Linked DNA regions of Rhinolophus ferrumequinum. The protein of the gene in region 2 interacts with the protein of the main gene of each other region in a biochemical or structural test. Links are inferred from orthologs where the notes say so. Each region holds a gene or a part of one and is shown on either strand. Other genes may lie near its edges.

The links.
Region 1: the proteins of RET (region 2) and GRB10 form a complex in vitro, tested with the Homo sapiens proteins (2 studies listed by BioGRID). The link is inferred for Rhinolophus ferrumequinum from reciprocal best matches to the Homo sapiens genes RET and GRB10.

The regions. Positions count from the first base shown.
Region 1 is NC_046303.1:2,528,156-2,535,938, forward strand, and holds the start of GRB10 (growth factor receptor-bound protein 10), read right to left. Parts: upstream 3,050-7,783; 5' UTR 2,850-3,049; intron 1-2,849.
Region 2 is NC_046299.1:67,028,088-67,035,910, reverse strand, and holds the start of RET (proto-oncogene tyrosine-protein kinase receptor Ret), read left to right. Parts: upstream 1-4,767; 5' UTR 4,768-5,000; coding exon 5,001-5,058; intron 5,059-7,823. UniProt on the Homo sapiens protein: Receptor tyrosine-protein kinase involved in numerous cellular mechanisms including cell proliferation, neuronal navigation, cell migration, and cell differentiation in response to glia cell line-derived growth family factors (GDNF, NRTN, ARTN, PSPN and GDF15).

The sequences.
Region 1 (7,783 bases), on a different chromosome or scaffold from region 2:
CCCATTAGCACAGACCTGGTAGAAAGTTTCCAGGTCCCGAAAGCACCTGTTTGCCAAGCCTTGCCTACCAAGTAGCTCGGCTGTCTTAATTTCTTCTGTAACCTCCCATACTTCTACAGTTAAGAAAAAAATAAAATAAGACAGTTTAAAAAAAAATCTCTACCAGCAGAAAAAGTGTTATTTAAATTTTAAACATAAGACTGATTGCTTAATTGAAAGGCAAAACAAGTATTTTCTCCTCACGAGCCCTAAACAAACCCCACTTTGGTTTAAGAAGACTGAGACAGACATGACATGGGGTTTATGCCACAAACTGCAAATGGAAAGGCGTCTTTACCACAAAACAGAACAGAAGTCCCCTGCAGCCAGCTCTCTGAGTTCTGATAGGCAGACGTGCTCGCCCTTCCACACACTTAATTACACCGTACACAGGTGTTGAGTACACAGGTGTTTCTTCCTTGCAGGTAAGAGGTGGACAGGACTCGGAGGAAACAGGTTCTGTACATTATGCCACCTTTGAAGCACTGGGTCTACCAACCCAGAATTTCTACAGTCCTAGATGTGTAGATGTTTCTGTTCAAGCAGGAGTTTGGTTGCTATACACAGTAAAGTCTTGACCAGCTGTGTCATCAAAATCAAAGGTTCTGGGCTAGCACTTAGTTCTGACTTTGTTATTCTCTCTCAGTGGAGGCTGACTGGCCAGAGAGACGGTCACTGCCACTGGGCCAGTACTGCCCTGTGTTCCGATGGCACACCACCATACACAGCCCCCAACAAGTAGCTGGCATGAGCCTGCCAGTTCCAGGGTCTTGGTCCACAAATAAAAGGCATTTTTCCCTGCCATCGCTGCCCCCAAAATGGTACAGAACTTGGGCAGTATGCAATCGATGACTTTAGGGGTACACAGCTTTTATTAAAACACCATTTTTTTATTACAACAAACGTTTAACTACCATATCAAACTTACAACTCAGTGGATACCAAAATTTTCTCCCAAAAAAATATGTATTTTCATATAATCAATGAGCAGACAAAAGAAAATGTTGATAATGGCCTCAGCGACAATGAGAGAGCTCTGAAAAGCTGGGAGTCCAGGGAGTGGTAATGGGCCCTGCTAGTTCTCGGGTGTGTGACTGGCAGGGGACGTCCTCTGGGCTATTTCTCTTTCAGAGGCAGATGTACGCGTGCAGAAGCATAAAACACACAGGACTGAAAAAAAGAAATCCAAAACTTGGGCTCTGGTGATAGCTCTATCATGTGCTGGCCATGTGACCCTGGGCATGCCAATTTAACCTCTTGAGCCTCAGTTTCCCCACCTGTAAAATGGGGATCCAAGGGCTGTAGAGGGCTAAAAGCAACAAGGCTTCCAACGTGTCTCGTAAACTATGAAATGCTACAAAGTATCAGTCGCTACACTTCTCAGTTACACAAGCGCTGGCTGGCGCTGGCTGGGTGTGTAACCCGGTCTGTCCTCAGATTCCCTCCCTGTAATCTGGAGATTGGCCTGTGTGGCCCTTCTCTTTCAAGTATTCCCAATAAAACTCAAATGTTACGTGCAGTAATCCTAGAGTTCTGATGTTAACCGAAAAAGCCAGCCTCCACATCATTCCTGGAAACAAATTTGCTTCCAGGGCTTTTATTGAACAAAATCTTCCGCTAAAAGACACTTCACTATCCCCACAAGTTGGAATTAATTTCTTCTGCTATACATATCTAGATTCCACCTACTTTTCCTTCTAGAAAGAAAGGGGGGGGGGCTCCAAGTCAACTGCTGTGAGAAACCACCAGCCTCATGCTGTAAACCCCAGCCAGCGCCTGTTGCTCGCTAACATGTGTTCTGAGTAAAACCGAGCGAAATGTTAAGTAGAGCACCATTTCTGAAGCTGGGGGCTCCAAACGGCTGATTCAGCATTTTCAGAAACAAAGTGTTCTGGGCCTGGCCCTGTAAACAGCAGCACCCAGAAAGTTGTGCAATTACGCATATTCACTCAGGAGCGCTACTTGTTTTGGTCTTTTCTTTGCATCTCTTGAATGAAACTGGGTACATTTGCGAGAAGTCCTTCTTTCTAGTGCATCGCGGATCCAGCAGTGTCTCAGTCACCTGTGGCTTCCCTACAGGGCCCAAGGTTTTCGTCAAAGCAAACGACAAAAAGTTGGCATTTCTTCCAACCCCAGGAGAAGAGGGACACAATAAAAAGTAGAGAATACCCTAATTTCCATAGCGCACATGCTGCAGGGCCTCGCCAGGCAGGCTTTTGGAGAGGCAATCAGCGAAGGCAGACAGTTGCATCAGAAATTTCCTTCTGCAAACGGTACGGCTCTTATCACATTTCCACGGCTGGCCGGCGGCTAATCCGCGAGCCCTCAAGTTGGGGTTAGGCCCCAGCGGCGGGTAACGGGGTCACTAACGGAACCGAATAAAAACCCTCCCGAGACTGGGCCGCGCCGGGCTGGGGAGTGCCCGGCTCGGCGTGGGCTCAGGGGGGCTGCAGGGGACCCTCCGGGCGGCCCGGGAGCGCAGCCTCGGCCCTGACCGTGGACGGGCGCAGCCCCCACCTAGCCTGGCCCCGGCCCGTGAGCTGCCGGCGTCGGACGGGATGGTCCAAGGAGGCGCTGCCCGGCTCCGCAGCTCCCGGGGAACCCGCGCAGAGCCCGGCCGGCTCCGCCGCGCCCGCAGCCCCCAGCCCGGAGGCGACGCCCTTCCGCCCGCCGCGCCCCCGCGGCGCCCGGCGTCCCCGGCCCGGCGGCCAGCGCGCAGACAATGACCGCACGGGGACCGCCCGCCCGCCGGGCCCCGCCGCGCGGACCACAAAGTAACTTGCGGCCGCGATCCCCACCCAACTCCGTACCTGCGCGGCACCGCTCCGGGGGACCTCGGCGCAGCTGGGGCAGGAGCGGGCCCAGGGGGCGGGCGGGGCGCGCGGGGCGTCCCGGCCCAGCCTAGGGGCTGCGCGCAAACTTTGGCTCCGCGCGGGTCTCCGCGGCCTCCGAGCGCTGAGCCCGCTGCCGGCGCGCCGCTCGGCCCTTCCAGCCTCCTCCTGGCCTCCCCACCCCCTCGAGGGGCTTTAAACGCGCGGGCCCCGCCCGCCTCCGCCGCCTCCGCCTCCTCCCCCGGCCGCTTTTCCTGCTCCTCCTCCCGCCGCCGCAGCCGGGACCGCTCGGCGGCCGCCAGCGCGGGCGGAGCCGCGGCCTAGGCGCAGGGCGTGGTGCGGGCGCGCGGGCTAGGGGGCCGGACCCTCGGGGCCCGCAGCCGGGCGTGGGCGCCCGGGTCCCTGGTCCTGCCTCCCGGGAGCCCCAGACGTGGGACCCCGACAGCCCAGGCTCGAGCGCCGGCGGAAGACACATCGGACCTATCCCGAAAGGCAATTTGCAAGCGAATTCTTTGAAACTCAAAGTCTTAACTGTATGGTCCAAATCCTGCATCACCAACACAGTGCAAGGAGGACCGAGGAGGCGCCAATGCTGGGGACTCTGTCTGGACCGGCGGTCCAGCCCGGGGGGCGGGGGGGGGGTGGGGTGGGGGGGGAAGGGATCTTGGGTTTGCGGTGCCCGCTCACAGCCACCCAGGTCTGGGGCCTCTTCTATCTGATCTCAGTTTCCCCATCTGCGTGTGAGCACTGGAGTGAATGCGGGTGGCGGAAGGAGGCCCTACATAGGTTCTCAGCGCCCCCAAGCCTCAGTGTCCTTATCTTTGAAATGGGCTAATAAACCCCCCTGAGGGTGATATCCTAGGGGTTGAATGAAGTCATACCTGTGACAGTGACTGGCACGGAGGACACTGCGAATGAATGAAAACCATTATCATTAATATAATTATTAATGTGTCTACGGAGTCAAAATTACAATACAAATAGGATAGCAATAATTATGTCTTTTTCTGGATCTTCATGTTACAAAAACAGCTACAACAGTAACTTTTTCTGACCATTCATTTATGCCAAATGGCCACCAATCTGTCACCCAGCCCCTACTCCGGCCCTCTGAGGTTGTCACTGGGAGATGTCCACGGTGCAGATTAGGAAATCCAACCTCGCAGAGGTGAAATACCCTGCCCAAGGTCAAGTAGCTGGTAAGTGCAGAATAAGGACGGTGCCAAAGCCCTTTTCAGGCACTTTTTATAGCTCCTGCTTTTCACACCTTTGGATGGATATATCATGAAAGGTCACCCTTTCCTGCCACTGAAATAGGCCTCCTGAAAATGTCTACCCATTGGTCCAAGCCCAGAAAACCGTAAGATGAAAACCTAGAAAGAATGACGTGAAGGATCTTGGATTCCTGGGAGAACAGAACACAAAGGACTCCTGTTGAAGACAAAGGACTCGGGAGAAAATCACAGAAGAGAAAACTCAATTTGGGCCAACTTCTTACAAGTATGTGAGTTTGAACCTTGTAGCTTTGCTGACGGCACCAATCAGCCTGCCCCGGCCACGGGCTTTTGCAGATGTCTGAAGAGCACCTGTGAACAGACATCGTTTTGTCCTGAGTCCCGTGTAGGCAGGTTTCATGCACTATAGCCCCTAACCCCTATATACTTTGATGTCTTCCCTAAGAGTAGGGAAGCACAGTTAGCAAATTCATACATTTATGTTGCTCAAGTACACGTGTCTGGTCTCGGTCCATAGCCCAGCGTTGCCCGTTGATCTGCTAATGTCCTTGATAACGTTCCTTTCCCCTCATTACAGGACCCAGTGTAGGGTCAGGTGAGAACTTACTGTCTCTAAACGTGTGGATTTTCAAACATTACTATTCATTGAGAGGGGACCAAAATAAATGTCCTCCAGTGTTTTCCTGCTTCCATGGATCCCTGAAATTCCTGGGACAGGCGCTCAGCCCCCACCTGTCCTGGCTCTCCGCAGATATATCCGCATGCATCTCCTTTCTGGGCAGGTCCACTCAGGACCACTTTACGATCCAAGTTCATGAACGTGTCACTGTTGTGGGTTTAGAAGCTGCAGCTGTCCCCTGGACCGGGGTCCTGGCCACACCTGTACTGTGGGCAAACTGCACCTGAATGCCTTTCCCTGCCGCAAATTCCAAATGCCCACCACCCACATGACAGCAGCCAGGGTGGACATCAGCCATGCAGGGCTCGAGTTACCCTGGACCACCCAGCCGGCCAGGAGCAAGGCAGTGTGGCTTTGTGTTCAAGAGCTTCCCCAAGGGGAAATGGCCTGGCTGCAGCTAGGTGTCAGGACGGGAAACGGCATTTTGTGACCGTGAGGAACTCACTTATCCAGACGTGCGCAAAGGCTTGTTCAGCTGCATGGAGAGAATCCGATAGATTCTATAATTGGTACCTGTCCCCTCTGTCGACTGTAACCATGTGACAAGGGTAACTGCGTGCTCTTCACTGCTGTCATCCTGGCACTGAGCGGGCACCCAGGAAAACCCCTCATCACTGGGAAGTGGTACCATGCAAAGGGATTTAGCAGCAGAGCAGCAGGCAAGATGCTGTGATGCCCGGCACCGTCTCACACATGCCAGCAGCCTTGGCAAAGGGAAGGGGCGCCAGGTGAGCTGCTCACTGACAGTGAAGCCCTCTGGCCAGAAGTGGCCCTCACTTCTGCTTGCGTGGGCAGAGGCCAGTCCATGGCCCAGCCATGCAAGGGGAGAGGCGTGGGAGGGGATGCATCTGGAGGGCAGAGCTGGACACCAGCCAGCCATCAGAGGCACTAAGGACTGCCAGCCCACCCCATCCCCTCACCGTGGGGTGGGCTTGAGCTGCAATCACAGTATAATTGTAATACGCCCCGCAGGACCCAAGGGAATCTGTTCACCCTGCAGACCCCTGGGCTCATCCCCACCCTGAGGAGTTTACCGCCCCCCAGGGTCACTCTGCATTTTTAACAGACTTCCCCATGATCCACAACTGCCAGTATTCCAAATACAGTGACTCCTTGAGTCGTCTGAGCAAGAGGAGTACAGGCGGCCCCAAGGTACAGAGACGGGGAGCCTGGATGGGGAGCCTGGCGGCTTTGCTTCCCAGCAGAGGCCACACCCTAGCAGAGTCCTGGAGCATCCAAGATGCTAAGTGCCGAAAAGGGAGCCAAAGGAAAGGTCTGCCAGGTCGAGGGAGATGCAGGTACCTCACCAAAGCCAAGAAAAGTTACCAAGTAGTCACATTCCGTCATAGAAAGCTGGGGGCGGGGCTGGAGGAGGTTGCGTGGCAGGCGGGAGACGTGACAAGAGGCCAGGCTGGAAAGGCCAGCAGGGACTTACTTGTCGCCCTCAGGCATTTCTCCATTATCCCAAAGGTGATGGGAGAGTGTGAGACCTGTCTGCTGCCGCGGGGCTGACCAACACGATGTACCCCCCTCAGTGGACTGTCCATAGTCCCCCAATCACCCCCACCTTTTGTGGTTCCCTACATAGCAGTTGATTTACTGGGGATGACACTGGGCCCAGGGATTCCCATTCCAAGGGTTTGCCTGTGGAGGAAAGGATGGGCCCACCAGAAGCCTGCTCCTGGGAGTCCGAACCGGAAGTACTGGAGGGGGTCTGGACCACAGGCACCAGGTGAGGACCACCTGAGCTGGGCCCATGTGTGAAGGGAAGCGCTGAAAGCAAGCCCTGAACGGATGCCCTCTGTCGGTCCCCTGTCTCCCTGGGTCTGGGCCACCGCAGGTCTCCTTTCAATGGAAATGCATTTTCCGTATGATGTCTTAATATAAACTCTCCTTTTCCTGAGATACCTTGAATCAAAATGGCTTTACAATTCAAACAGAGGCTCACTGAAGGATGTTTCCTCTTAAGTCTGATCTATTGAGGTTGGATTTGCCTACAGGAAAAATTAACCGCTGTGTAACTGTGATGTCAGGGAAGATAAAGAGCAGCTTCATCATCCCAGAAAGTTCGCTCTTGTGCCTTGCAATATGTCCCATCCCCACGCCCTGCACACACTGCTCTATGCGCTTTCTGTCCCCTTAGTTGTGCCTTTTCGAGATTGTCACATGAATGGAATCACGCAGTATGTAGCCTTTTGTGTCCGGCTTTTCTCCCTCGGCTCACTGTGTGTGAGATTCATCTGTGTCGCTCTGTGCATCACGAGCGTGCTCCTTTAAAGCTGGTTGCTGTGCCGTGAGTGGACGCACCTCCGTCTGTTCATTCATTCACTGGCTGACGGAAACCTGGGCAGGTCCCACTGTGGGGCGATTATGAATAAAACTGCTATACAGGGTTTACCGGGAAGATAAGTTTTCGTTTCTCTTGGGTAAATAACAAGAAACGAGATCGCTGGGCCATATGAAATGTGTCATAAGAAACGGCCACACTGCTTTCAAAGTGACTTTACCGTGGGCATCTGCCCCCAAAAGGTGTGAGTGCCCCAGCGGTTCTGCGTCTCAACCAGCACTTGGCGCTGTCGGCCTCTTTAATTTCAGCCATCCAACTGGTGTGCGATGGTGTCTCGTTCTGATTTTAACTGGCGCTTTCTTCACGACAACAAATGGTGAGTGCTTTTCCACGTGCTCACGTGCTATTCATCTGCATTCTCCTCTGAAGTAAACGTCTTTGGTCCAATTATTTTATTATTATTATTATTACTATTATTATTATTGCATCAATCGTTTCCTTATCACTGAGTTCTAAGAGTTCTTTTTGTATTCTTGATACCAGTACTTTAGCAGATATGTGTTTTGCAAATATATTCCACCAGACTTTTCTATTTTTTTTAACAGTATCTTTCAGAGAGCAGAAGTTTTTAATTTTGTAGGTTAACTATTATCAATTTATCCTTTTGCAGTTTGTTTCTTATATCCCGTCTGAGAAATTCTTGCCTAACCCT
Region 2 (7,823 bases):
TTTTAAAAAGTGCATTCGTAAAAACTTGTCTAAATCTGCAGTACAAGGCAGATTATGAAACCGCCTGGGGAGATGTTTTTTCTAAAAAGCATTCAAGCCATATTTGCTGGACTTGCCAATCCGAGCTCCCTGAGATCTGTATGGCTTCTTGTGAGCCTGGACTGGCCTTCTCCCGGGCCCAGGTGATGCAAGAGGCAGGCACTGCCAGGCCTGAGGCCCCATCAAGCTCCAGTGGCCTTGGGCCTGCAGTGCCCTCGGGCTGGAGGCTCTGTGGGGCACAGTGGACTCAGTGTGGGCAAAGCCCTGAGGAGCCAGGTGGGGCTCCCCAGTGTGTAATGACATGATGAGATAAGGACTGCTGCGGCAAAGAAGAGTCTCAGCTTCCAGGGCTCGCTCTCCTTCCACTGAGAAGGCTGTGGGTCATGTAGGAGGGTGAGGGAAAAGTGTTAGCTCAGGCCGGCCAGTCTCAGTTGGGCTGCCTTGTCCAGACAGGTGTGCACTACTACCTGTGCAGTTGCAGAGCCAGCACAAGGGAAGCAGTCATTTGGATCCAGGGACCACCTGCTTTCTGTGCTAACTCAGCGACGTCCACTGACCTCTGTGGCCTCTTTGCCTCAACTCCTACAGCCGATGGGAATCAGGAGGGACAACTCATTGGCTGTCTGGGGATTCACGTGTCATCGGGCACCTGGGGGAAGGGGACTCTGCTTTCCCATTGAGGCCCAGGGACATTCCAGGTCACACAGACAAGAGACAAAGCCAGGACACAGCTCAGAGCCCACCTGCAGCCTTCACAACATGCCACTGCCCTGGCCTCCCAGCCAGACAGCTCCCTGGACTTTAGAGGACGCTGAAAGAAGAGGGAGGAAAACGCCTCCTGAGCCAGGAACTGTGCAGATCCTGCTAATGCACCATTTGGGTGTGGCCTCACAACACTGCGAGGCACTAACCGTATGACATTCCCAGGTACAGATGAGGAAGCCGAGTCCCAGGGACACAGTTAGCCTGGTTCTGGGGCTAGGTGAAAGGAATAGAGCTGAGATTCCTCCTCGAGAAGAGGGAAGCGGAGGAGGCATGAAAGGAGAAGGCAGAAAAGCAGAGAAGGGGAGGGAAAAGGGAGAGGAAAGAAATTCAGAGGAGACAAGTCTGTTGTGGGGTCCATGGAAGGGTGAGTTGGGGCAAAGAGTTGAGGTCAGGCCTTCCAGGTGGAGGTGGGCCCTGTCTGAGCCTCAGGGTCTCTGACAGTATGCAGGACACAGTTGCTCCTGCTCTGGAGCCCTGGGCGGTCTGGACAAGGCAGCCCAACTGAGACTGGCCTGCCTGAGCTAACACCCAGCTACTGGTCAGGCCTGAGGAGGGTCCTCTCATTGGCCAGGCTGAGGTCCTGTCTTCAAATACCAGCTGTGTGTGAGAGGAAGGCAGGCAGGGCCTCCACACAGTCAGGGGAAGGATGTTCCTGAGTCACACCTTGGAGCCCCAGCCTGGTGTGTTGTGTGTTATGGGGACAGCATATTTGAAATGGAGGTAAGTGGATGGGGAGCCCCACGGTGGGCCCTCACAGCCGGCTAGTGAGCACTGGCTCTCCTTGCAGCTGCACCTGGAGGACAGCAAACAGACATGCCTGTACCTTAACACCCAGTGGAGTGACAGTGCAGCGGTTTATTACCTCTGCTTACAGAGGGGAAACTAAGTAAGCAAGCAACTAGCTACAGTACACAGTCAGCTTCAAAGCCCCTATGCTTCCAGCCTCTGTGTCACACTGCCTGAGACCCCCTCCCGGACCCCCTCTGACCACATCTGGCCCCAGGCAGGGGCCTAACAGGCCTCAGTCAGCAGTTCCTGGAATAATGTCTAGCCTTTTAGTGCCTGCAGGATTGGGCTGTGCTGCTGGCTTTGTTTCCTCGTCCCTGTAAGGTCCCTGGGGCCAGGATTTCCTATCCTTACACTCAGTCTCCACTCCTAAAAGCAGACTTTCTCCCTGAGTTGCCACAGCCACCTGGGTCCATGATCACAGAGCACCCTGGTCCATGATCACAGAGCACCCTGGTCCATGATCACCAGCAGCTCCTCCCCACCTGGACAAGCCGGCACCAGATGGGATCCCTGTCTGTGCTGTCCCTTCCCTGAGCTGTCTTTTGGGGCCAGACCCAAGGGGCTCCAGGTAGGCCTCACCTGCTCAGAGGCAAGGAATGCTGCAGGAATAACCTGTGAGTTGCCCGCCCATGGAGCACCTTATCCTGTGCTGAGAGCAAGGCCTCACTAACACTATTTCAGTCATTCCTCCCAGCCATCCAGATGGGGGAGCACTATTTTAGCCCCCATTTTAGAAATGGCAAAACCAGAGAGGTACAGTGATTTGTGCAATGTCACACGACTGTAAGTGGCAAAATTCAAACTGCTCTGACTCACTCCAAAGCAGAATCCCGTATCAGAACCTCTCGCGGGACTCTTTTTTAAGATGTCGATTTTTATGGAGGTGGAGCCCCGGAATCTATGATAAAAGGGGGGCTGTGGGCAGGGGTGGGGAGCACTGACAACACTGGGATGTACCCCCCTTACCCAGCTCCTAGAGAGCTTCTCAGTGCCTATGGAAGCCCATGTCCCTCAACAGGGCAAGGATGAGAGAGCCAAGTCCCAAGCATAGGTATGGCTATGATTGATGGAGCACTCACTTGTGCCTGGCACTGAGCTCCACCCTCACACATACTCCCTTTTCTATCCTCATCCGTTCTGAGGGGGATGTTTATAGTTGGAAGCTGAGGCACAGAGAGAGATGACTAGGGGAAGCCAGGACAGAGAACAGGAACCTCCTGCAAACTCTCCCATGCAACTGTCCCAGGCGCCCCTAGGACAAAGTGGAGCAAAGGGAGGGGCTTCCTGGGGAATCAGACCAGCACCTTTGGATTCGGCTGAAGCTCAGGCTCTGACCTTGCCCTGTGGGACCTCAGGGAGGCTGCATTCATTTCCTCTTTGCTGGGAGAAGAAGCGCCTTCCTACCATTCTGATGTTCTGGATCTTAAGCCAATGCACAATCCTAGGCAGGGCTGAGTCAGCCCCCGCCCGTAGTCCGAAGCCAGCAAGCCCAGGACTTCACTCCTTTCCCCTACTGGGTGCCCTCCAGACAAGTCCCTGCGCGTGCACGTGGGGGAGGGTACACACCCAAGTCCATACATGTTAGTACATACATATGCACATATGCACACACATGTACATGTATGTGCAATGGTACAAATGTGAGGCTCCCCTGACACTGATCTAAAAGGAGGGCAATGCCCACTCCATAGTGTCAGGCATCTATTCAAGACCCCCAAGGGTGGAGATGGAAAGAGAGTGGGAGGGGGAGGGGGACCCAGGCAGGAGCACAGCCTCCGATGGGACACACAGAGCCAGCCAGAATCCAGCCTGTTCAGTGTCAGCCAAGGCCTGGCCAGGGTACTCCCTGGGAGGTACTAGGGTGGGGATGGTTGGAAGAATGGGTCAAGTCACCCCTCTTCCTTCTGCATTTTCCTGCCACAGGAGCCTGTTTGTAACAGTAAAGTCCCCCTCAGCCCCTCCCTTTCTACTCAGGTCCCTTCCCTGGGCACAGCCCCGAGTGTCCAGCCTTGGTAGCCATTAGCACCAGAAATAAGGGTCTATCTACAAACAAGGGAGCCCCGTGGCCACCAGCCCTATAAATCCGAGGGTGTGGGGCTCTGGGCATGTGAGACAGGCAGCACAAGGTCTGATGGCTGAAGGGGGGCTCTCCAGAGCCGGGCATGCTGTGCCCTGGCCTCTTGCCACAGGCCGGCTCTGGCCATCTCAGCTGGCAGAACCCCCAGCCATCCTGTCTTGGCAGCTCCTCCTCCTGCCTGCAAGGCTGACTTCACTTTGACTTCATATCTGCAGAGTGATGTGCAGACCTCGTATTCAGCCCTGAGCTTGGCCAGGCAAGAGGGTGGAGCCCCAGCCTCGTGTGCACAGCAGGAAGAAGAGACCCTGAAGGGCGCCCCCAAGGCCAAGGTGCGCTGGACCTTCCCACCCCAAGGCTTCCATTCCTCTGGCCCTGGTGGAGGCAGGACCTCAAAAGGTAGCTAGGGGGTAGGAGGAGAACGGTGGGTTTTTCCCACAGAGGTCTAGAACCCGTCTTCACCTCATCCCAGGAACCCCATGTTAAAGGTCCTGAGTTCCCCCTTTCTGGGATTGTATGTGTTTGTGGGTATCCTTTCTTTGGGCGAACATTACATTATTTGAGGCTCCTGTCCCTCCCTGCTACGCGCTCTCCAACTCAGTTCCACATCCAAAGAGCTCTTCTTTTAGGGGTGGCTACTCTCCAAGCACCCCACTAGGCCACCAGGACCAGGTCTGAGAAATGGCGGAGGATGCGCTCCGCGCCAAGAGCCTGGTCCCCAGGTCCGCTCGGGTGCATCCCAGCCAGGCTGCCCAGACCCCGCATCCCCGCGTGGTTTAATTGTCTCGTGTGGGAGGCGGGGAAGGGTGAAGGGTTGGTACAGCGAGGGCGCACAGGCTGAGAAAGAGTGGCTGTGCGTGCGGACTGGGCTGAGGTTGGCAGGCCAGCACCCGGCGCCCCACACCTCGCTCCTACTCCTGTTCCGCTTAGACCACACCCGCACCCCACGTCCAGCACTGGTCCGCTACTGGAGCCTTGCTGGTTCCGCACTGGGCGCTGCCGGGCGGGTATCCCGAGCCCCGCCCCTACCGCACCCGCTCGGTCCCTGGCCCCGCCCGGCCCGCCCCCCTGGCAGCGCCGCCCCGCCCCTGCCCGCTCCTCCCGCGCAGCCCGCGCCTGCCTTGCCTCAGTCCGGCGATCAGAGCCCGGCCCAAGCAGCGGAGAGCGCCCCGGTGTCGCGCTCCGACGCTCCGCGCCCGCAGTGTCCTCCGCGTCCGCCGCGTCCGCCGCGTCCCGGGCGGGATGGAGCGGCCCGGCTGAGCACTACACCCCGCCGCCTACACCCCCTGTCCGAGCCACCATCCTCTTGCCGCGGTCCCGGCGCACACGGGCGATGGCGAAGACGACGGCGGGGCTGCGGTGGCTGCTTCTGCTGCCGCTGCTCGGCGAAGGTAAGTCCTGCTGGCGGCCGGGGCCAAGTTGGAGTGGTGGAGTGGACGCAATCGAAAACGCCGTCCTGTTTGCGGCGGGCCGCAGGCAGCGCGTTTGCGGGCCGCAGGGGCGGGGCGGGGAGCGAGGTGGTGCGGCGAGCAGGGAGCCTCAGGCCCCAAGCTGGGCGGGTCGCGGGCTGGGCCCGGCGGCCGAGGTCGCTGTTCACGGTGCGAGCTGCAGCCGCGCGTCGCAGTCTGGTCGCGCTTGGACCGAAGCGGACAGATACTGTCGCCCTTTCGTCGCAGATAGCGCGGGACGGGTGAGATAGCCCTAGAAAGCCAGCGACCTGTGCACGGAGTTCTGTTTCTGCAAAAGATCGCTGCGTCCTGGTTTCCTTTCCGCGCTCCACGTCGGTTCATTCCTCCTCCTGCCGTGATCCCCTGGCCCGCAGTGGGGTGAGGAGGGGATCTCCTCTTTTATAAAACGTTGCTTTTCCCTCGTGAGTTTTTTGCCGCCCAAATCTTTTTAAAAAACCTAAAAGCCTGTGGTTTCTGGGAAGCCTGCCCTCGATGGCCCACTCAGACTGGCCCAGCGCAGCCCACGGAGGGCCCACCGCGGTCGAGCCTCACCAGGCAGGCTTTTTAAGAGTCGCACGCCGTTGCCAGGCAGGGGCATCTGAAAGTGCGGCCTTTGGGACCGTATGATGGCTCTGGGTCAACATTTAATAAGCACTTTTGACCATCTTGGAGTAGGGTGTAGGGCCGTGTGCCACCAGTGTTGGTGCTGGGAGCATTAGATATGCTCTTGCAAAGGCTGGTCACCACCCCACCCCCAAACCCTGACAGGATGAACCCCAAGGCGGTAGATAGAATCTTTACTCCCCTCGGCCATGCATTTTACTTCCGTTCAAACCGTCCCTGACTGATCCCCTCCTGCTGTGCTTCTGAATGAAGTTTCCCTCAAAGAGGGAAACAGCCCTGGCTACCTCCCCAACACTACTTACAAAGGGTTTTCTCTCCCTATGGCCTTTGGGGACAGAAGAGGCCGTGGCACCCTGTGTCTAGGCCCAGGTCCTGCACAGATTCCGGGTTCACAGGCCTGCGCAAGGCTTCGTTTGTGTGACTGGATCCCAGTGTCAAGGAGCAGATACTGAAGCCAGAATCCTCAATGCGTCATAGAGAGGGCAGGGGAGAAGCCCTTTCTTTGCCGTGGGGATGAATGTGGGAAGGGAATCTGTTTCCAGTATTGGGACCCTGGGCTCAGTGCTGCTAGAGGAAGAGAGCAGGAGGCTGTGAATAGAGCCTGGGGGCAGCAGGGCAGAAGTAAACAGGAACAGGGTGTTATAGAGATCTCCTGTAACTCTTGGGTTGCAACTTTGTAATTGTGGACTTGTGGTCAGGTGTGAGCCAGAAGCAGTGTGCTGAGTGCAGCCTCAGCAGCCTTCAGAGGCTTTCCCCATACCATTCCACAGCCTTGTGCTTTAGCTGCTGTGCTCAGTGGAACTGTGGGGGGGCTGAACTGTGGGGGCTGGGCTGCAAGGGTGGGCCTGTGGCACTTGGCAGGAATAGGTGGCTTTTCTATCGCTGTGGTCCACAGAGTTGGGTGACCAAAGACAGGCTCTCCAATCCAGGGACAGTGAACCCCCAACTCTGCCCATCCTTCCCTTGGGATGACCAAGAAACCACGATTGGTGGCACTGAGAGTGGAGCGGTGGCCCCACACCACACAGGAAGAGACCGCCGAGGCCTTGGAGAGGCCTGTGGGTGCCCTCTACTAGGAGCAGCAGCCCTGGAACTGCCGGAGCCTGGGTCTCAGTGAGCCGCTCCCCGCTGCCACTAGCGTGCCTGCAGCTGCGCTTGGACCCGCCCAGGCGGGGAGCAGCGGGGCCTCTGGGCGCCCTCTTGTGGATGCAGCGCTCCAGTGCCTGACCTGTTGGGAGGAGGGGCTGGGTCTCTAGAGGATGCAGGTCATCCCCTGCTGGGCAAGATACCTCCCCAAGACCGGAAGCTCCCTTCGGTGCTGGGGGACTGACAGGAGGTGGGTATGGGAGGTGACTCGGAAGGGGTCAGTGGCCATGAGCAGAGAGCAGGGAAGGAGCAGCGAGCGCCGCCTCTGGGCTGGCAGGGGTGGGCTGGAGGACCCAGGGAGACCCAGAGCAAGGCCATGGAACATAGACACCCCCCCCAGCCTGCCTCCCCCTACTCTTATTGTGTGTAGCCGCACACACCTTCAAAAAAGGTGCCCACGCAGACACAGACTACCCGACAGGGCAGGACTTGCCTTCTCACCTACACCCTGGTATTTGTGTTCACACCCACACACACACACCCCCACATCCATTTTTGCACACACATGCTCACACTCATAGTCATCACCAGGACACACTCCTGCCCTTTCTCAAGGAGACATGTTCATGATACCTGTGGACACACACACTCCCCTCCTTGCCACTCACGCACACTGGGATCCCGCATATGCACACAGGGGCACTGGGCCCGCCCACCCCACCCCCAGCCATCAGCCCTGGCTATCTTTAAACCAGAGCTAGGGAACCTCCACCTAAGAGTTGTTCTTAGAAGAGTTTTTGGCCCTTTGCTGCTCAGCTCAGGTGCAGCCATCCCTGAGGCATAGATGAGGAGTGAGAATCCCGGCTCCTGGGACTCCACCTGCACATGTCCCCGGCTGACCCCTGTCCAGCACCATCTCCTTGGCCGCCTGCAACTCCTCAGCAGCATCACGTTTCTCATCTTCCTGGCCTGGCTTCTTAGGTCCCATTTTGCTCAGC